Linked DNA regions of Xenopus tropicalis. The protein of the gene in region 1 purifies or fractionates together with the protein of each later gene. This does not show direct contact. Links are inferred from orthologs where the notes say so. Each region holds a gene or a part of one and is shown on either strand. Other genes may lie near its edges.

Region 1 (10,525 bases):
AAAGGCTCAAAGAGCCAAGCCTGCTTAATTTCTCCAAAATCAACAAATGAACAGGTAACCATTAAACAAGTAGACATACGAAAAGGAATAGATTAAATAAGTATAGATAAGTCAATCTGCAGGATTAATCTGCCTATGATTAAGTGCACTAACGCACGAAACGCGTCAGGCACCTGTTTGTTTTTAATGTGATGAAATAAAGACCAATTTTTAGCAGACCTTGGAAGTCCGGAGTGCTTGATGTCCTACTTCAACTATGAGTATAAATATAAGTGTAGATGCAAAATGTACATGGTCAACCGGGCCTTCTGGTGTCTACTATTTTATATTTTTAATTCTCATATGCAATTTTCATTTTCTCCTCAGCATACATCTGTTTTATTCCAGGGATTTGGAAAACTATTACTAATATATGAGACTATTGAAATGTAAAAGATACCTGAAACATTCTAAGGCTAATGTCCTACGGAGCGAGTTAGTCACCCGCAATAGATCCCTGCTACCACGGGTGACTAACCGCTCTGAAATGCTTTTCCACTGGCAACAATAGGAGTCGCTGGTGGAAAGGCCTACACATCGCTTTGGCTTTTTCAGTCATGCAAAGTTGCCTGCAGGAGGAAACTTCACGCGACTTTGGAATGCCTTAGAGATATGCACTGTATGTACCATTTCTCAGAACAATTCAATAGACCAGGACTGTCCAACTGGAGGCCCTTGGGCCGGATGTGGCCCTCCATTCTGTTTAGAGACTCAATGGACACTATATGACATCATCATTTTAACTTAATCTGGCCCTCTAGCATGCTATATTCAATATAATTGCCCCCTACATGTAATAAGTTGGACAACACTGTAATAGACATGTATGATCATCTGTGTACTCTGAAGAGAAAAAATGATACACTTTTTGGTCCCAGTGAGTGAGCAAAGCCACTCGGAGCTGAGGACAAAGGCCGACAGAATACCCCAATTAATATTATTCTCTCCTACCCCCAGACAGGGTATTGCAATGTCAGGGCCCCCTCTACTTCAGACATTCCTATCTACATATACAAAAGGGAAAATACATAGAAGATGAGCTCAAAACCAGGAATAGTAAAGCATATGTATTAACAATATTTTATACTCTAAAAAATCCTTAGAAGCACAAGCACTAAGCATCCAGCTTCACTTTTGTTTTTGTTTCTAACACTGCTTTGTATTGTATCGGCTTCTGAATAGCTTTAGCAATACTGTAGGCTGTGACATTTTAGTGACTAACACTTGTATAACTTGTACAGGAAACTGGACTCTGCAGTAGTAATAATGGTGGGAAGGCTGAAAAGAATAGTATGCTACACATATGCAGATTCTGATGGACTTGGGGAGCACCCTGACCAGACCAAAAGAGCCATAAAATAAAATGAAAGACTTTATCCCTTGTACAGGTGGTCGTACACGGGCCGATAAAATCTGCCAAAGGTTTAAGTCGGCAACTTATCGGCCCATGTATGGGGCCATCAGACAGGCTAATATCTAGTTTATCAGTCAGATGTAAAAATCCCATTAGGGTGAACAGCACATTGGCATGTTGATGCGGTCCTTGTTCCGACAGCCTGCATCCAATCAATGTGATCCAATTGCTGAACGGTCAGATCAATCTGATATTGCCTGCCACAGGTGGGCATATAGGGTAGTGGATCTTTCCATGTATAGCTAACTCAGATATTCAGTTGGATTTATTTTTTCCTGCTATGGAAAGTGCCATTTTTGGCCTTGTTCGACCTTGCCCGCAATCACTTCATACCTTAAATCCCTATTGGCTTCTTATAATTCCTCTAGAACAAATAGGTGAAGTAATGTGTCTGTGCTTATCGATGCTTGTTGTCTTCTGTTAGGCTTTGTGTCTTACATGATTACAATCTCTGTTCCAGATGTTCCCTGTTGAATTGTGAAGTGGTGTTTGAGATGTTAAACTGCTCACTAATGGATGACAACAACTGCGTCAAATTGGTATGTCTTTGACCACGTGGGCTTCTCACTCACTTCTCCATGTCTTGCTGCAGCCAGTGTTCACTCTAAGCGAAGTTGTAACAAAAGGGGGCGCAACAGCTGTGGAATCCACAATTTGTTCACAAGTAATTCTGTTCTTTCTTGAATCCATCTACTGGAGCTCACCATGTTAAAAACAATGCATGAGGCCTTTTGGCCTCCAATATACTCCCTTCTGGCTACGAGAAGTAATACTGGGATGATGAGATGAGTTTCCCCCTCAACCACCTAAACCTAATCCCAATAGGTCCAACTACAGATCGGAACTCAGCCAAAGTAACTGCACCTGCCCCATATACTACATGCCACAGTGTTTCTGTTAAGGCTCCCCTCATAGACTTTGTTATACTTACCTGTGTTTTCCTTCTTTTTCCTATACTCTTATATAAGTTGTAAAAAAAAACTTGTTCTTATCTGTTTCTTTGACTGCAATTGATACCAATTTGAAACTTGGACATTGTCAGTGACATTTCATGTACCACAGAGAAAGGAGATTAATATGCTGTGATACAGTATATTTCCAATCTTTCCTTTTAAAGGAGAACTAAATACTAAAAATGAATATGGATAGAAATGTCATATTTTATATACTGAACAAGCTTAAAAGGTCCACATCTCTATAGTAGTAATAAACCAGTCCTTTAAAGTTGTCACAGGGGGTCACAATACGGAAATCTCTTAGAAGTGTCTGTGGCACTCACATGCTCAGTGGGCTCTGGGCAGCTGTTGAAAAGCTAAGCTTAGGGATTGTCACAAAATATCAAGAAGAAAATTGGGTTTGTCTGTCATAAAGGTTGGAGTTGCACTGGTTCAGAGCTGCCAAGTACTAATTATCTGTATTATTTCCTGATCAGCTTTATATTGTGACATTTATATTCTATATAAACAGTATATTGTGAGTCACTCCCTAAGCTCAGGTAAGTGCCAGCAGCACAGCGCATGTGCAGTGAATCAGCAGAAAAGAAGATGGGGAGCTACTGGGGCATCTTTGGAGGCACAGATATTCCCTGCTAAAGGGCTGTGGGTGCCTTGGGCTGGTACAGAAGCCCAAAACATAATGTACAACATTTCTACCCTACTTCTTTAGTTAGGCTTTAGTTCTTCTTTTAATATTATGTGGCTTATTACAGTATTTGCCCCCATCCAAGCTTCTGGAGAAGGCTGATTCACTAGCTCTACTAATACAAATGCAGAATGCATGAGTATTACAGATTATATATAGCCAGTTCTTAACAGTGTTTTCTACTTGCAGCGCTCCATGTGTGCAGTATCCTCCCTCATGGCCTCTGACCTCCTCTCACATGAACACATGCTAGCTGTTGTGAGGAAAAACTTGCAAAAATTAAGAGAAGGACCTCCAGGACCAGTGAAGAACAAGGCCACCAAGGTGAGGAGATAGCATGCTGTTGCCTTATTTGGTGACACTGTTGATGATTTCCCTTTTATATAGAAAAAAAAAATAATGGCAAATAATATATCAGTAGGGGACACAGGGTAAATTAGTGCTGGATGTGTTGTGCCAAGACAGATTACCTCTGCTGGCAGTAAAATAGCGACCATTCCATCCAAAGCTATTCTGCAGGTAGATGTATAAATTATGCTTGCATGCTTCATTGGAACAGTTTACCATGAACCTCTCGTCTGACAGTTGCCATCTGTACACTGACCACCTGTCCATAATATTCCTTTAGACATTACAAGATACACTTCATATGTTTAAGTTCATTTAAAGGAGAAGGAAAGTCATTTTGGCATTTTACTACCAATATATTTGCCACCTAGAACACTATATATATTCTGCAAATAGCTTTGCCTTACCTGAGTAAAGAGCCCTAGAAGCTCTCTACGTTTGTTTAAGATTGCAGCTGCCATTTTAGCTTGGTCCTCATAGCTTCCTGCTGTAGCTCTTGCCCTTATAGCTCAGATTACACATTTCTAAGGGTGGGGGGAGTGAGTTTTATGAATTCTTATGGGAGGGGGGAACAGGAGAGGAGAGAGCTACGCAGACTCTGGACCTGGGAATTAAGGATTTTTCTGAGAGAGGAAGTCTGATACAGAAAAACATACATGGCTGTATTTACATAGACCTTTCTGATAAAGATTAATTAGTTTTTACCTTTCCTTCTTCTTTAATACCTGTTTATAATGCAGAGTTCCAATATAACAAAACTTGATTTTTTGGTTAGATTCTGCTTCAGTTTCAAGCACTTACTCAGAATGTTTCTGAAAGAGGATCTTCGCACCATGGGACTGTGGCTTCTCCCAACACACGATGCCCCTTGGATGTACTCACCGATTTTATTCCTCATTCTGTGGGGGGTGGTTTACTGACACCACTAAGTGTACCCTCATCACCTACTTTAAATGTCCAGAACACTGTCTGTTCTCTACCGAATGGGGCTGAAAACCAGAAAGATCACAATGGGAGCTCTGAGAAAAGTGATCCAGTTGAAAAAACAAGGGAGCTAGAATGTGAGGAGACTGGTAATCACAAAAGCACAAGCATACACGTGTCTCTGTTTGAAGGCATGGAACTGGTAGGACCAATACGATGCAGTCACAATGAAGCTACCGGATCACAAGAACTTCCTGTTGAACTTGTAAAAGAAGAACCATCTAAGCCGACCCTGCCCTCTGTGTTTTCATTTCTAAACACTTGATGCAACTTGTGACCTTCACCAGGTGGGCTTGCCCCAAGCACTGACAGAGACTGACTGACAAGCATGAGAGCAAGAGAATACAGAATGTTTTCTGTGTAAATAAATATCTTCATCGGGAGTTGCACAAAGACAAAAATCAAGTCATGTGATCAATTAAAAGACCTGTAATGGCATTTTTTTATATGTAGGCCCTTGGCACAGGACATATTATCCACCAGAAGAAGTGTCTGAATATGGCCGGCAAGTGTCTCTTACTAGAATAGAATTGCATTCATTTAAATGACAGGTTGCAAGCCATTTTTTAGGGGCTTTTTCCCAGTGGAGAATATGCACAATGTGCCATGGGACTTAAAGGAACAGTGACACTAAAAAGTTATAGGTGAAAAAATTCACTCTCCTCCAATAACACTTCTATTCTGGGCAAAGTTAATTATCTTTAATGTTTTATACATAAATAATGCGATAATCCTGTGTTTTTAAAAGGGCTATGTGGCAACATGCACTTCCGTGCGCGCTCCAATCTCCTGCTAGCCGACATTATTTTTGAAACCGGAACGCAGTTGTTCCAGCTTCTAAGAGAATTATCAACCTGCTCTGTTCCACCTTTGCGTCAGTGTGATTTATTTCACTAAAAATTTGGAGCAGTGAAGGAAGGAGGATGAGCGTGCTGACTTGTTGGGGTCTTCTCTGGCTGGCCTGGCTGCTGCCTTTACTATTCGCTGCTCTTGGGTTCACAGCCCACGGGGAGATTAGTTGCCCACAATTAATCTCATTTACCGCAAGCGACTAATCTCCTTAAAAGGCATAAGTTGCGCTTAGTTTTCCAAAGTTGCACGAAGTTGCCTTCAGGAGGAATATCAGGGAATTTAGTTGCCCTTGGTAGCGGAGACTTAACCGCAGGCGACTAATCTCCCCATAGGACATAGGTCTTATGACACTGAGGAAATAATACTAGCCATACACCCTGTCTCCCCAAACTTCAATGTGGCATGAATTCAAATAAGAAGGGAGAACATGGCAGGCTGAAAATCCTCAGTGAACCCGGAGCAGCTAACTTTCTGTTTTATAAAGAAAGTCGGCTAGCATAAGATTGGAGCCCGCAAGTAAGTGCATGTCGCCACATTAACCTTTTTAAAACACGGTACACAGCCGGAAGATGCATTTTATCACATGATTTAAGTATAACTTTAAAGATATTTAACTTTGTCCTGGATGGAAGTGTTAGTGGAGGGGAGTAGAATGGATTTTTGACTTTTAGTGTTACTGTTTCTTTAAAGTTTGCTTATGTACATCCAGTACTTGCAAGTAAACTAGTTTGCAAGAGAAAAGTTTTCATTCTATGGTCCTGTGGTAATCCATGAATGTCATTAGACCCCTGTATATCTCCTATTGTATTCTACATACTGTATCTATTATCTGTTATGTAAATGTGGGCTCTAAAAGCCCAGTTTTGACTTGAAAATCCCAGCAGCATATTTATATAAACTATACTGAAGCCTCTGAAGCAAACACAGTTTGTTCCAGTGCAAGGTAATAGTAAATTGTATTTAATTTGTGTATATGTTATCTTTGATGTTACTGGCCCTTCAGCATGAATGACTGGATTGCTTGGAAATCAGGCCACCTTGTCTGTGATTTGCTATAACACACTAAAGAAATGGGTGAAATAACCAACGCATATCACAAAACATAACTCAGGTTCTGTCAGTAGGTGGAACCCTTTATATTTACATTTGCTAATGCTAAAACAATAACACTGATCTAAAGTATTATCTACTGTACAGCGCTGCATACATAAGTAGCACTTTATAAATAAAGATATACATACATTTGCAACCATTGTCTTTTAAGGGCAATGACACATGGTGCCACTTGTAGCAGCTACAAATGCCAGAAAATACTCTGCCATAGACAATACTGAGAATAGTCTCTGCTAAAACACACGTAGAGACAACTATCAGTATTGTCTATTTTGTAGCTGGCTACAGGTAGCTCCGTGTCAATGCCCTTACAGTTGTATTGCAACCCCCATTTGTTGGATGAGCAGATCTCAAGGGAACTGGGAATCCTAACACTTTTAGGGCTCTGGCACACGTGGAGATTAGTCGCCCGCGAACAGGGAGTTTTGTCGCGGGCAACTAATCTCCCCGTGTGCCAGAGCCCTTAGGTCAGATGTTTACAAATCCTCTAAGTGATGTTTAGGCAGTTGATCCCATGCAAGTGAATCTACTTGTCCACACTACTCTCTGTATGGCCAGCTAAAGAGTTGCTACTGCCAAATTGCCTATTCTTTTGAAATGTTAAGGTGCAATTCTGTTTAGGTTTAAAATGATTCACATCTATGTATTTGTAAATGTTTCAGCAATAATATACTACAAAAGTATTAATAGAAGTAAAAAGTACAAGTGTATAGATATTATTTTTAATAGTAATGAATTTTTACAGTGCTCCCTTTTGGTTTTGGCCTATTATTTCCCACTGAGTTGCTGTAAAATGCCAAGTAACTTACTAGTCAGAATACTTCTCACATGTATTATTAATGGTGGTTGGTGCAAAATAAACGTACTACATTTGAGGGTTTAGCTTATTGCTGTTGAGTAGGAACTGGATTTGGACATTCTTTATGCTCTAAAAGCAACACCAGCCTATATGTCATGCAAATCTGGCCTTTAAGAAAAACTCTCACACTTGTGCCAGTGCAACAGTACCGACCTGCTCTTTGGTTTCTACAAATCTATATTATAAAGTTTGTCTTTATCATTTTAAAGGAACAGTAACGCATAAAAGCAATTATTTTAAACTGATATACCCAGTACATATCTGGCCTAAGGCACCCAAGCTGTGTGACAGCTGCTCTGCAGAGTTCCAGAGCGATCCCCACCCAGTATCTTTTCTAGCATTTCCATTAGTTTAAATGAGAAGCAAGTGCTGGCAGGCAATCAGAGTTCTGCCTGAGAACACTATAATCATAGTTTGTGTACTATATCCATATACAGACGGAAAGAATCCCTTGTTTTATAGTAGGGTATGTATTCCCTATAATATGATCCTGCTGTATATTTACACAAATGATACAAAAATTGAAATAAATAAATATATATAGTATTAACCCTAAGCCACTCCAACCGTATCCACAGTTAATTATATCAAGTACAGTGAAACCTCAATTTACATCCCCTGATTTTAAGTTTTCCTGCATTTTACACTATTGTTTTGTGGTCCTACTAATATATAACACACAATAAACTTCCCTGGTTTTATATTTTCACGGATTTTGCACCATTTTTTTTCTGGTCTCCTGAAAAAACTTGGGGGTTCTACTGTATGTCACAGCATATATTTGTCTTTCTGACTAACAACTGATCTTGTCAGCATTGCATGGAGGCTTTCTCCGGATAATAGTCAAAAGTTATTGGCCTGTGAATGACTTACTGGTGAACGTTTCTGGATGAAAAGCTCTCACTCCTGCAATTTTACCATCTTCCCATTCAAGTCAGTGGAAGCCCTATGAAAAGTGCTGAATGTGCTTTTTTTGCTTAATGAAATCTCACATTCACAAAAAAATGACTTTGTTTTTTTTTAATACTAATTATAATACATATTATAATTATTATTGTTTAAAACAAATTGAATTCATTTTCTCTGCTTTCACATTTCCAAGTGTCAGTTTGGGAAGGCAAGTAGCTGACTTTCTAAGCTTTAATAAGTAGCCATCAGGATGTAACACTGTGGGGCAAAATCAGAAGGTCACAGGAATTAATTGTGCATAATCGAAACCACTGCAATGATTCTCTGTAGCCGACCTTAGGAAATTCATGGGCTACACACATTAAACTTGTGTTAAATTACAAAGACATGATCTAGATAATGTTTGTGAATCACAGCTTTACATGCATTTTCAAGCCATTTGAGAACTCTGAAAGCATTGTGATTTTCAGTTTTTATAAGTTTGTTGTTAAAAATCTAAAAAAACGGTGCTGCGCAACTTGCGGCCCGCAGCCCTCTCCTGTGTTCCCCCCCCACCTGCCTGGCTGCTGTGATTGCTTAACTTTGTGTAAACTGAGATTAACTGCTCCCCCCCTGCATTGTTTACACCTCAGTTTAAGGCTTTAAACCCCTGTATTGTTAACACCTTTAAGCCCCTGCATTGTTCACCCATCCCCCTGCATTGTTCACACCTCAGGCTCAGACTGTAAGTGCCCACATTGTTTACCTGTTAACACCTACAGACTGTAGGGGCAGTGCCAGCATTGTGTCAGTGTTTGTACTGCCTGCCCTATACTGCCTGTGTGTGCTGTACTCTAACTGCCCTATGCTGCCTGTGTGTGCCATACTCTGCCTGCCCTATGCTGCCTGTGTGTGCCATACTCTGCCTGCCCTATGCTGCCAGTGCGTTCTGTACTCTGCCTGCCCTATGCTGCCAGTGTGTTCTGTACTCTGCCTGCCCTATGCTGTGTGTGCCGTACTCTGCCTCCCCTGTGCTGCGTGTGTGCCATACTCTGCCTGCCCTATGCTGCCTGTGTGTGCTGTAATCTGCCTCCCCTGTGCTGTGTGTGTGCCATACTCTGTCAGCCCTATGCTGCCTGTGTGTGCCATACTCTGTCGGCCCTATGCTGCGTGTGTGCCATACTCTGCCGGCCCTATGCTGCATGTGTGCCATACTCTGCCTGCCCTATGCTGCCTGTGGAAGGTGAAACTAGGAGGGTTTTTTTCTGGGAGTTTGTTAGCATTTGGAAATAGTCATTATATGGTCCCTAAGGTGTGTAATTATGTTGCTGTGCTATTCACAGGGGAGGCATATGGATTTAAGAGTGTGTCTTAATATGACATAATAAACTTCTTTGACATATGAATGAAGGGTGATATCCCTACAGTGAGCTCCAACCATTTGGGTTTTGCTGCGCTACTACCATTAATATAGGCATGGTCTTAAAACTCCAGCCCTCAGTACCATAGAAGTTGGACAACACTGCCCATAAATAAAGCAACTGTTTAATATTGTCTTCATTTTTTATTTTACATTTATTGTGTATTATTAGCTTTCTAGTCTAGCTTTTTTCAACGGCAAAAGAGATGTCACTGGCGTGTGTGACTACACTTTCATCTGCAGCGCTGCACAGATACCCCCCAACTCTGCCTCTGGATTTTGTACAAGACTTTTTTCATGAAAGACTTTATTTTCCCAAAAAAAGTTTTATTTACCATATAGGCATCCGAGGGCTGCTCCCTAAAACTGCCACCCAGGGCACAGGCCCTTAATTACTATATGGTAAATACACCATATTTACATATACAGCCCTGTGCTTACTCCCTGCCATAGGGGCACCCTCTGATGCTCCCTGACTTGTGAGTTTGAATAAGGCACAATTTAAGGGGCAGGTATGGGGCCTACGTGCCTCTCCCAGTCTCCATAAATACAATGCTATATTCATCCAGAAAGAGTAGGTGTTGTTTGTGCTCCATCCTGGACTGCAAGAACCTGCACTCACAGTGGGGTAGGGTGCAAAGTGTAATAAACATGGCAGGTACAGGTATCGGACACCTTATCCGGAAACCTGTTATCCAGAAAGCTCTGAATTACGTAAAGCCCATCTTCCATAGCCTCCATTTTAATCAAATAATTCAGAATTGTAAAACTGATTTCCTTTTTCTCTGTAATAATAAAACAGTACCTTGTAATTGATCCCAACTAAGATATAATTACCCCTTATTGGGGGCAGAACAGCCCTATTGGGTTTATTTAATGGTTAAATGATTCCCTTTTCTCTGTAATAATAAAACAGTACCTTGTAATTGATCCCAACTAAGATATATATAATCCTTATTGGATGTGA
Region 2 (11,039 bases), on another chromosome or scaffold:
GTAATAGTGTCTAAATGGCAGCAACTTAAATTTACCCACTGAAAGTCAACAACATCTGGAACTGCAGTTACCCAGTGACTAACTCTGCGACGTTTAGGGACCCTAGGATTAATAGTTAAAGAACGGCAGCAATTAAAATTTAAACCAATAAAAGTCAATAGGTGAATTGTGATTGGTGGCTCCGCCCACTTTTTCTAACCTTGAGTCGAAGTCACCCAGTGACAAACAGTGGGCACCCTGGCATAAATAGTTTGAGAATGACAGCATTTTAAATTTAAACCAATAAAATTCAATTGATGAAATCTGATTGGCTGTTAGTGGCCCAACCTACTTTTCCTATTTTTGAACTGCAGTCCCCCAGTGACCAACTTTGCAAATTTTGGGGACTCAGGCATTCATTGTGAGGCTAAGAGCATTTTACACTTCACCATTGAAGTAAATAGGTGAAATGTTATTGGCTGTTGGTGGCTTTGCCCACTTTTTTCTAACTTTGAATGGCAAATACCCAGTGATTAACGCTGGAAACTTTAACAACCCTGGAATTAATATTTAAATAATGGCATCAGTTTAAATATAAACCAATGAAATCTAATGGGTGGAAATGGATTGGCTGTTGGTGGCTCCTCCCACTTGCTTGGGAACCCTGACATAAATAGTGTGAGCAAAGCAACATTTTAAATATAAACCAAAAAAATTCAATAGGTGAAGTCTGATTGGCTGTTGGTGGCCCCACCCACTTTTTAAAACCTAAAAATGGAGTTCCCTAGTGACCCTGGTGTTAATACTGTGAGAATGGCAGCAGGTTGAATTTCCCATTGAAAATCAATAGGTAAAATCTGATTGGCTGTTGTTGGCTCCACCCACTTTTTCTAACTCTGAACTGCAGTTACCGGGTGACTAGCTCGGCAAAGTTTGGAGACCTTAGTATTAATATTTAAAGAATGGCCACAGTTTAAATTTAAACATATTAAGTCTATAGGTGAAATCTAATTGGTTGTTGTTGGCCCCACCCACTTTTCTAAACTTGGAACATAGTCACCTAGTGACAAACTGTGCAAAGTTTGGGGACCCTGACATTAAACATGTGAGAAGGGCAGCAGTTAAAATTTTCCCACTGAAAACAATGAAAGAAATGTGATTGGCTTATGGCGGCCCCACTTTTTCTAACCTTGAGTACAAAGTCACGCAGTGACTGACTGTGCAAAGTTTGCGAAATCTGGCATCAAACCAATAAAATTCAATAGGTGAAATCTGACTGGCTGTTGGTGGCCCTGCCCACTTTTTCAAAACTAAAACTGTAGTCCCCTAGTGACCAACTGTGAAAAGTTGAAAAGTTTGGGGACCCTGGTGTTAGTACTGTGAGAATGGCAGCAGGTTGAATTTCCCCATTGAAAGTCAATAGGTAAACTCTGATTGGCTGTTGGTGGCTCCGCCCACTTTTCAAAACTAGAATTGCAGTCCCCTAGTGACCAACTGTGAAAAGTTTGGGGACCCTGGTGTTAATACTGTCAGAATGGCAGCAGATTGAATTTCCCCATTAAAAGTCAATAGGTAAACTCTGATTGGCTGTTGGTGGCTCCGCCCACTTTTTCTTACCTTGAACCACAGTTACCTGGTGCCTAACTCTGCAAAGTTTGGGGACCCCGGTGTTATTACTGTGAGAATGGCAGCAGGTTTGATTTCTGCCAAGTCAATAGGTAAAATCTGATTGGCTGTTCACATCTCCACCCACTTTTGGGCATCCAACAATCATCATATTTTCATTCAGGCTGAGCCCATGACGGTGTGATTCAAGTTTGGGGAGTGTAGCCTCAAAGCTGTAAGTTTGGCAGCAGTTTCAATTTCCCCATAAAAGTCAATGGGTACAATATGATTGGCTGCTGTTGGCCCCTCCCACTTTGCTGTTCTGTTTTTTTAGAAACCTGAATGCGTAGTCACCCAGTGCCTGACTGTGCAAAGTTTGGAAAATCTGGCATCAAACCAATAAAAATCAATAGGTGAAATTTGATTGGCTGTTGGTGGCTCCGCCCACTTTTCAAAATTTAAACTGCAGTCCCCTAGTGACCAAGTGTAAAAAGTTTGGGGATCCCAACGTTATTACTGTGAGAATGGCAGCAGGTTGAATTTACACCAAATCAATAGGTAAAATCTGATTGGTGGTTCACAGCTCCGCCCGCTTTTGGGCATCCAATAATCATCCTATTTTCATTCAGGCTGACCCCCTGACTATGTGATTCAAGTTTGGGGAGTGAAGCCTCAAAGCTGTAAGTGTGGCAGCAGTTTCAATTTCCCTATTAAAGTCAATGATTAAAATTTGATTGGCTGTTGTTGGCCCCTCCCACTTTGGGGTCATCCAACAAATGTTGCTGCTTCATTCGGGGTGATCCCATAATTATGTTATTCAAGTTTTGGGGGTGTAGCTTCAAAGCTGTAAGTGTGGCAGCAGTTTGAAAATCTTCCCTGTCAAAGTCAATGGGAAAATTGGGGGGTTCGGAGCGGCGCCACAAAAAGACGGGGGGCACAACCGCTTAGAAAAGCACAAGCAACCTGCTCCGCTATAGGGCGAAGAAGTGTGGGGAGTTTGGGTGTTGTACCCCTAAAACTGTAGGAGGAGTAGCGTTTAGAAAATGGGGGGCGCTAAGAATAAGAAGAAGAAGCGGGAGAATAAGCTAAAGTCGAAGAACAGTATGTTGGGGTTTTCAACCCAACATAATTAAATAAAAATAAGTGTAGTTGGCTTGAAGTATATTGCAATATATGGACAAATAATCTCTGTTTTGCTTAAAGGGGAGGGTATCTCTTGGTAGCTTAAGGCACAGAATGTCTTAATGTCCAAAAATAAAAAATGATTGGTGAACTTTGTATAAAATACTTACGAAAAAAGCTTTAGCTCCTAGTTGTTGCTCTGTGCTGCAACCAAATACAACTGCAAAAATCCAAAAAGTAGGAAAAAAACTTCAGCAGATTTACTGCAAACCATTTATTGTGGGTAGTGGTAACACGACACGTTTCGGGTCAATACCCTTTATCAAGTGTACAATAAATGGTTTGCAGTAAATCTGCTGAAGCTTTTTTCCTACTTTTTGGATTTTTGCAATGTCTTAATGCCCTATATATATGTATAATGGGTGAATGCAGAGGACCTCTTGTTGTGGTCTAGATGTATTTTGTGGTCACAGCCTTATTGTACCCCCACCTAATAGTTTTAAATGTAGTAGTTGAGCATAACTTACCCTTTATGAAGATTTTCATTCCTACAGATCATGATATACAGTATGTAAAGATACTCTAGATCAGGGGTGGGCAAACTACGGCCCGCGGGCCACATCCGGCCCGTTAGCCCTTTCAATCCGGCCCGCCGTCTCCGGCCCCCTTAAAAGAATGACGGGCCCTGATTGGTTGTGCCCAATCGTGCATGCCGTAATTTGTGATCTTTCAGGTGGAAAACACCTTGTGCATGCCGTAATTTGTGTATATACGATTCTTTTGTTATTCTAGTATCTTTCAGGTGGAAAACACCTTGTGCATGCCGTAATTTGTGTATATACGATAAAGATTCAGCACACTTCTTTTTCTCTTGTTTTGTTTTCTCTAACATATGTATATATGTGCACTCATTTGGAGTGGTTGAACTTGATTGACTTTTGTATTATTTTTTCAGCCCAATTTAATAATGTAAGTAATGCTACGTATGTAATGTATGTTTCAGAGGTGCAGCAGCTGCTAAAGAGAGGCAGAGAATAAGCAGTTGCTGAATTGTTACGTTAATGGATCTTAGGGCTGTGGCACACGGGGAGATTAGTCACAGCGCCAGGGTCCCCCCGCTAAACCCCCTCGCAGGGCCCCCCAACCAACGTCCTCCCACGTGCATGTAAATTTAACGCGTCAGGGGAGCAACAGTCGGGCAGGGGGAGCGCCGGCAAGGGCCGGGTCTGAGCTGCCGGTATTTTTCCCGGTGTCCCAGTCCGACCCTGCACTGCGCAACAAATCTCCCTTGTCGTGGGCGACTAATCTCCCCAAAATGCCATCCCACTGGCTAAAATGTAAATCGCTGGTGGGATGGCATATGCGGCGCCGCGGTCGCCAAATCGCCGCACCACCTATGCCATCCCAACAGCGATTTACGTTTTAGCCGGTGGGATGGTATTTTGGGAGATTAGTCGCCCGCGACAAGGGAGATTTGTGGCGCAGCGACTAATCTCCCCGTGTGCCACAGCCCTAAACTTCATTAACGTAACAGTTCAGCAACTGCTGATTCTCTGCCTCTCTTTGCCAGCTGCTGCACCTCTGAAACATACATACATTAGGGAACTTTCTGCTTGAGGAGGAAACCCCAGGGGGTGCAAATACCCCCCACCTATGTGTATCTCCACTAAAAGGTAAAAGACCATTAGAAGTCACACCAGACTGCTGTACACGTTATTTAAGGCTCTTGGGCACTGTAAAAAAAAGTCCTTGGGATTTCAACCTCCAACTGGACTGACCTTTTCTAAACATATACAAAACTACTACAGTAGCCTCTTAGCTACAAGACGGATAGTTATATTGCGCCTATGGGTACAGAGCACGTTTATCCTTGTAGACTTCTAATAGACTTTTACATTATCTTGTGTATATACTGCCTTTTAATTACTGATACTTTCTCCGCAGCTTCCCTAATTACTTCCATGCTCTAGGTCTGCACGACTCAGCACCAATAGAAACCCAGCAGAGTGGGAGGAGTCTGGCTGCTACTGAAAGCTTCTGCAGCTCCGGTGTGTGAGTACCTAGCTGTGCGTTGGGCCCTGCTCTTATGGGCAGGAGCGTGAGGAGAACACAAGCATGTCCGCCTCAGTAGTGAGAGCGACTATCAGGGCTGTAAGCAAGAGGAAGCTGCAGCCCACAAGAGCTGCCCTCACTCTGGTGAGTGACCGTTGTACGGTTCCAGTAAAGGCCGCTACTGCGTATAACTTAAGAGACTGTGGCGGAGGGTATTGGGCTGATAAAGGAAGGACGCACAGAACAGTACTAATGCGTGTGGGAATGCGTGTATGCTGTTTGAAAGAGAAACATGGTTTATGTGCGATGAGGCAGCGCTGATACAAACAGTAAGGCAATTGCTTATGTGCAAGGACGACAACTGTACGGGGACAAAAGCAAGGGCATTGAAAACAAGTTTGTTGATTGTCGCTTTAAACTACAATACCCGATAGACTTTGCGCGCTGCGTCACTCTTGGAGGCGGAAGTGATGTAAAACGTGCAATAAGTATTTTTTTGAGAGCCTATAAGCTCTGTGAGAGTTTAAAAAATAAAAAGATTGTGTAGCCTTTGGTACCAGATAGCCAACTCCTCATTTTTTATTGTATGCATATATTTATTTGTTTTAGCTGTTTGCTGGCTAGTGGTGACATGGCACAATGCTTGCAAAACTGCAGTTTTTGTTTATGTTGAGCATAGAGGGGGAGTTTGAACATGACATGCTTCTTTAATAGTGACAAAGACACTTTGTGTATGCATATTGGTATTTAATACAGAATAAATACAACAGAAATGTGGTAAAAACAAAGTTGCACAAATGCATTTTTCTCCTGCGATCTTAAAAGTGAAGAAATATGCTCAATTTATACAGATTTTAGTAGGTGACAGTCTATGTTGTTAACAGACAAAAAAACCTTATTTTTCAACTTAAAAAAATAAATAGTTCACAAAAAAAGATGATTAAACTAATCATGCTTTCTCGGTTACTAACATATTTATAGGAAAACTTGATCAAAATGGCTTCTAAGTTGATTGTACAGCTCAGTTTGACTTATATAGACTACCTTATACCACAGACTGAATGGAAACCATGATAGTCCAGGCCAGAACTCCCCTCCCCCAATAATTTCATAGACTGATACAAACTTTTTCACCTTGTCCAGGAGCTGCCTGGAAGGATGTCAAGAGAGTTGGGAGAGATCTGCAGCCTGAGCCCTATAAATCTATGATAATGATATTTATCCAAAATCCACCTATAATATTAACATTGTTGTATGCTATATATGCTCCTAAATGTGTTGAGAAATTCCATGTTTAATGTAAAATGTGTTATTGTTACTTTAAAGGAGACATATTGGACACATGGGAAAAACACTCATTTTGTTGGCAATTATGAATAATATATGGTGCTAGTTTCACTTTGTGCTAAAAATTAATCTTAACTGTAAAAATGGCCTTTCTATTAGAGCTCCCTATAGATCCTATCAGTTCTATGTCCGTGTTTGAAATGAAAGGTGGGCATGTCCTAATGGTCCCAGCCAGAAGCATAATAGGAATCAATCACAGCCCTGCAGTCACACAAGCAAAGACAGGCTTCAGTTCCCTATCAGGTCAGCCTAGCTGCTGATTGGATCCTATCCTACAGTGCAGTCTACTCAGAGCTGCTGGCTCCCCTGCACATCCAGAGAATTTAGCCAGCAGGACGTGGCACAGGTGGGGGGACTACTGGGGTTTAGTGGAATTTCTCAATAAATAAGTCTGAAACACAACGATTTTTAAGCACAATCCTTCTATATCTAGAGTAGTATAATTCACTGGTACATTCATAATTTTTATATTTTATGTCTCCTTTAAAGGGATTCTGTCATGATTTTTATGGTATACTTTTTTATTTCTATATTATACTGTTTACATAGCAAATAATTTCACTGCCATTTAAAATTTTATTCTTGAACCAACAAATGCATTTTTAGTTGTGATATTGGTGTGTAGGCGTCATCTCAGTGCATTGTTCCTCAGTCTGAGCTTTCAGAAAGAGCCAGTACTACACATTAGAACTGCTTTCAGGTAACCTATTGTTTTTTTTCCTACTCCCATGTAACTGGAGGAGTCCTAAGCTGGACTTGGATTTCTTACCTTTCTTCACCCTAAGAAATGTAGAGTATAACTAGCTCCATGTGAAATTTCAAAATTAAATATAATATAAAAAGATCTGTTTGCATTTTTAACAAACAGATTTCAATGCAGGGTTTTTCTGGAGAAGCTCTATTAACTGACGTGTTTTGAAGACAACTTGCTTGCAACAAGCTTTTGTTTAAATGCATTTTTTCCGTTTATTTTTAGACCCCAGCTGCTGTCAATAAGGTTAAAAAGTTACTTCAAGATAAACCTGACAATGTAAGTATAGTGGCTTACTTTACCAATGTCTGTCATATCTGTTGTTGGAGTGTTTGTGCCCTTTTGTCACATTTTAGATCACAGTCTTTTACAAAAGAAATGCTGGAGGCTGAGGGCACACAGTGTTTTCTCCGCTGCTCTGAGCCTGGGTTTTTTTGCAGGCTGAGAGAAGCAGATCCATTTTCTTGTTGACCAGTACAGCTTTTGCCTCTGCTCGGCTACACAAAATATTGGAAAAGGCAGATGTTTGAAAGTGTTTTGCATCTTTGCTTGTGGCTTAGCAGTGACATTAAAGGACAAGGAAATCCACAAGTCAGGGTAGCGCTTCTTTTCAAGTAAAACCTGCAGTGGCCAGTGCCACTCTGTCATCTCACCAGGCTTTCTCAGTAACTTTAGCCTTATCCCTTTAGTGAAATTGGATTTTCTAGATCTTTAATGCCTTTAGCTGGCAGAAAAAAACAACAAAAGAAAGATGCATGTTAGAAGATAAACAAATTGTTACAAAGGTTTTTAGAACAGCTTATCACATTTTAATTTTTAATCTTGTCATCCCACTATATCCCTTTTCCAAGCCATTGTGTCTTATTAAAGGCCATGTGGGCTGTATGCACGGGGAAAAACCCTGATCTGCTGACTTCTGCCTCACAAAGCACGTATAGGCATGGCATTGGCCAGTATACATTGTGTATACAAAGTATACATTGCGAAAAAGAAAATTTTATATAATATAGGCTTCATCATACTAAAATAAGACATTTTCTAAATATAATCAGTTACAAATTCTTACCTGTTTCTGAAATAATAACATTGCTGTTTACTCTTTCCTTATCAGCATCTCTCTTTCTAAATTCTCTACTCAAGCAGGAGCTAGGAGTCTGATTTTGAATAACAGTTAGGTCTAATATAGCCTTTGGGGGTATTCCTTTTGCCTAGAACAGGGCTGTCCAACTGGTGCCCCCCCCCCCCCCCCCCCCCCACCTGTCTGGCTGCTGTGACTACTTACCTTTGTGTAAGCTTTAAATTGTATCAGTACTGAGATTAACTGGCCCCCTGTTCACACCTCAGATTCAGGCTGTAAACCCATGTATTGTTTAAACACGTAATCCCCTGTCCTTTTACACCTTTTAATCCCTGCATTTTTCACCCCCTGCTTTGTTCACGCCTAAAAACTGGCTTCCATTATCGGTCCTGCACCGTGTAGACCAGAAAAGTTCTGGCCCTCGTTACCACAGAAGTTGGACAGCACTGGCCTAGAAGATGTGTTGGCTCACTCATTTAAAATAACCAGAAATCCTGTCTACAGGCAGGATCTGTGCCAAAGTTGGTTATTTTGTTTTTGTTGGAATCAGTTATTTGTGTGAGCTCTAATACATCTGCTAGGCCTAGCCCTCCTAAAAGATACATTGGATCTGTCAATCAAAATCTAACACCCAACTTGTGCATGGAGAGGCAATGATGAGAAACAGATTGAGAGAGGCCTAGTTAAAATAAACTTAATTCAGACACCGTACAGAATTTTTAACTGATTATATTTAGAAAGTTTCTTATTTCAGTAAGATGAAGCTTATATTAAATTTTCATTTTTGTGATTGTCACCCTTTAAATAATATGCTCCACAAACATTATATCCATAGGTGTGCAAGATGAATGGTACACTGCTGCACATGATCTTGGCTCTGTAAGGAACTGAAACATTATTGTAGTGGAGTATTGGCTTAGTAACTAAATATATTGTACAGGAGCAATTAAACCAAAATGCAAAGGCTAGCTTTGTTTATAAGTACGAGGAGAATGCCATATCGCAAAAATAACCATTTCAATTAATGTAAAAAAAAAATAGCCCTCCACTAGTGATTTCTTAAAAGGTAATGGATAAATCTGTTCCTCAGTTCTTCTCATACCCTAAATTATGTTAAGAGATTTCATTACATGGCAGCAAATATGAAACTACTGTAAATGGCCAGTTCTGCTTTTTACCACTTCCTTAATGATTTGTAAATACCTTTACCTAGTAAACTGAAATTAGGCATGCTGATCTTTCTACTGTATTTATTTTCTATCTCTTTTCTGTCTTGAAATATTTTACTTTTTTTGCAGTCCCTTTTCAGGGATTGTTTTATTGTTTATTGTTATATCCTTAAGTACCCTGTGAACGTGTTCTCAAATGTAAACAAAAAAAGATAAAAAGTTTCATATGATTGGAATTCTTTATTGCAGTACAGGTATGGGATCCCTTATCCGGAAACCCATTATCCAGAAAGCTCCGAATTACGGAATGCCCGTGTCCCATAGACTCCATTTTAATCAAATAATTCAGAATTTTGGATTTCCTTTTCCTCTGTTGCAATAAAACAGTACCTTGTAATTGATCCCAACTAAGATATAAATAATCCTTATTGGATGCAAAACAATCCCATGTGGTTGAATTAAGGTTTTCTTGATTCTTTAGTAGACTTAAGGTATGGAGATCCAAATTACAGAAAGACCCCTTATCCGGAATACCCTTGGTCCCGAGCATTCTGGATAATGGGTCTGATACCTGTATATAAAAATAAGGTAATATATAATATCAGTTTTTTTTTTTAGTACACCCAAGCAGATAGCTGTCTTCATCCCCATTATATATAATCTATAATGTGTCTGACACACTTAGACAATGAATTATATTCTTTTAAGCATAATTTGATATTTACTTGCTCCTTCTGTTGCAGTGCTGAAAATGCATATTTTACTTAATGTAATTAAATATATGAGCAGATTAGGGCTTAGAGCTGCACAGGTAACAGAAAAAAATAAATAAAAAGAATATAGTGCAGTGTATTAAATCAAACTATCAATTAAAAAAAAAAGTATTAAAGTGCAGAGAGGGGAAATTGAGAAATGTGCCACTTGTATAGGTTTATGTGCAAAATGTAAAGCATGGCTTGTAAGTAACCTGGGCAGCTGTAAGAAGTGGTAAAGGTCTTTGGTAGAAATATTGGATCATTGCATAGAAATATTGGATCATTGCATGCCTTCCAGCTGTTTTTGTATGCAGTTGAAAGGAACATAGATGTTTATTATAAACATAGCCACTATTGTGCACTTTGAAGATTTTATCCCTGTATATGTAGCATTATTGAAGATTTGTCTCCTGTATTTACAAATTGAACCATTTTATAGATTCTAATTGCTGATTATTTGGTATTTTTATAAATGTATTTCATACTTGTAAGCAACTGAATGTTTTGCAGGTGCACTTTGATTTGATATTTTGAAATAGTCTTTTCCAATTAAGAATCTATATGAACTGGTCCATACTGTTTGGTTAAAAGGGCAGCATACCCTCTTTTTCAACCTTAGTTCCATGAATTGAGCTTGTGCTGGACATACTTTTTGCCTATTGTTTTTACTAAGAAATATGTGTGTTTTTGTTATTTGTTGTATTAACTCTTTTACTGCCAACGACGTATGGGATACGTCATGGCAGTAAAAGGGCTTAACTGCCAACGACGTGTCCCATACGTCGTTGGCATTTAAGCACTGCTCTCTGCAGCGGCGGCATGTGCCGCCGCTGCAGAGAGCTTCTATCCATGACAGCCCCCCTGGGCAATGTGCCAGGGGGGCTGTCATGAGGGTCCTGCGAGCCGATCGCTCGCAGGACCCTCCAGGAAGCAGCAGACGCGATCGCGTTTATGCATACTTCATGTTTCGGTTTGGGTGAACCTTTTATAAGTGTCTTAGCCTTGTGTATTTGTGGCAGAGCAGTCTTGCTTACTGAATGGAGAAATTATTGCTTATGCCTAAAGGTTACAAATGTTTCTCTGGTGTGAAAATAAGATGTTTATATTTCATTTGTTTCTGTCATCTTGCTTAATGGGCTTTAAAGAACAAGGAAAGCATGTACCCCAAGTCTGCAGTATGT

Evidence for each region. The genes of interacting proteins can lie anywhere in the genome.
Region 2: the proteins of tepsin (region 1) and isca1 purify together in Homo sapiens (co-immunoprecipitation; 3 studies listed by BioGRID and IntAct, with this or other methods). This does not show direct contact. The link is inferred for Xenopus tropicalis from reciprocal best matches to the Homo sapiens genes TEPSIN and ISCA1.

Annotation. Positions count from the first base shown.
Region 1 is NC_030686.2:28,225,651-28,236,175, reverse strand, and holds the end of tepsin (AP-4 complex accessory subunit tepsin), read left to right. Parts: intron 1-1,913; coding exon 1,914-1,992; intron 1,993-3,283; coding exon 3,284-3,418; intron 3,419-4,217; coding exon 4,218-4,691; 3' UTR 4,692-6,516; downstream 6,517-10,525. UniProt on the Homo sapiens protein: Associates with the adapter-like complex 4 (AP-4) and may therefore play a role in vesicular trafficking of proteins at the trans-Golgi network.
Region 2 is NC_030677.2:134,912,511-134,923,549, forward strand, and holds the start of isca1 (iron-sulfur cluster assembly 1 homolog, mitochondrial), read left to right. Parts: upstream 1-4,667; 5' UTR 4,668-4,821; coding exon 4,822-4,902; intron 4,903-4,988; exon of another isoform or gene 4,989-5,030; coding exon of another isoform or gene 5,031-5,087; intron 5,088-7,081; coding exon 7,082-7,135; intron 7,136-11,039. UniProt on the Homo sapiens protein: Involved in the maturation of mitochondrial 4Fe-4S proteins functioning late in the iron-sulfur cluster assembly pathway. Probably involved in the binding of an intermediate of Fe/S cluster assembly.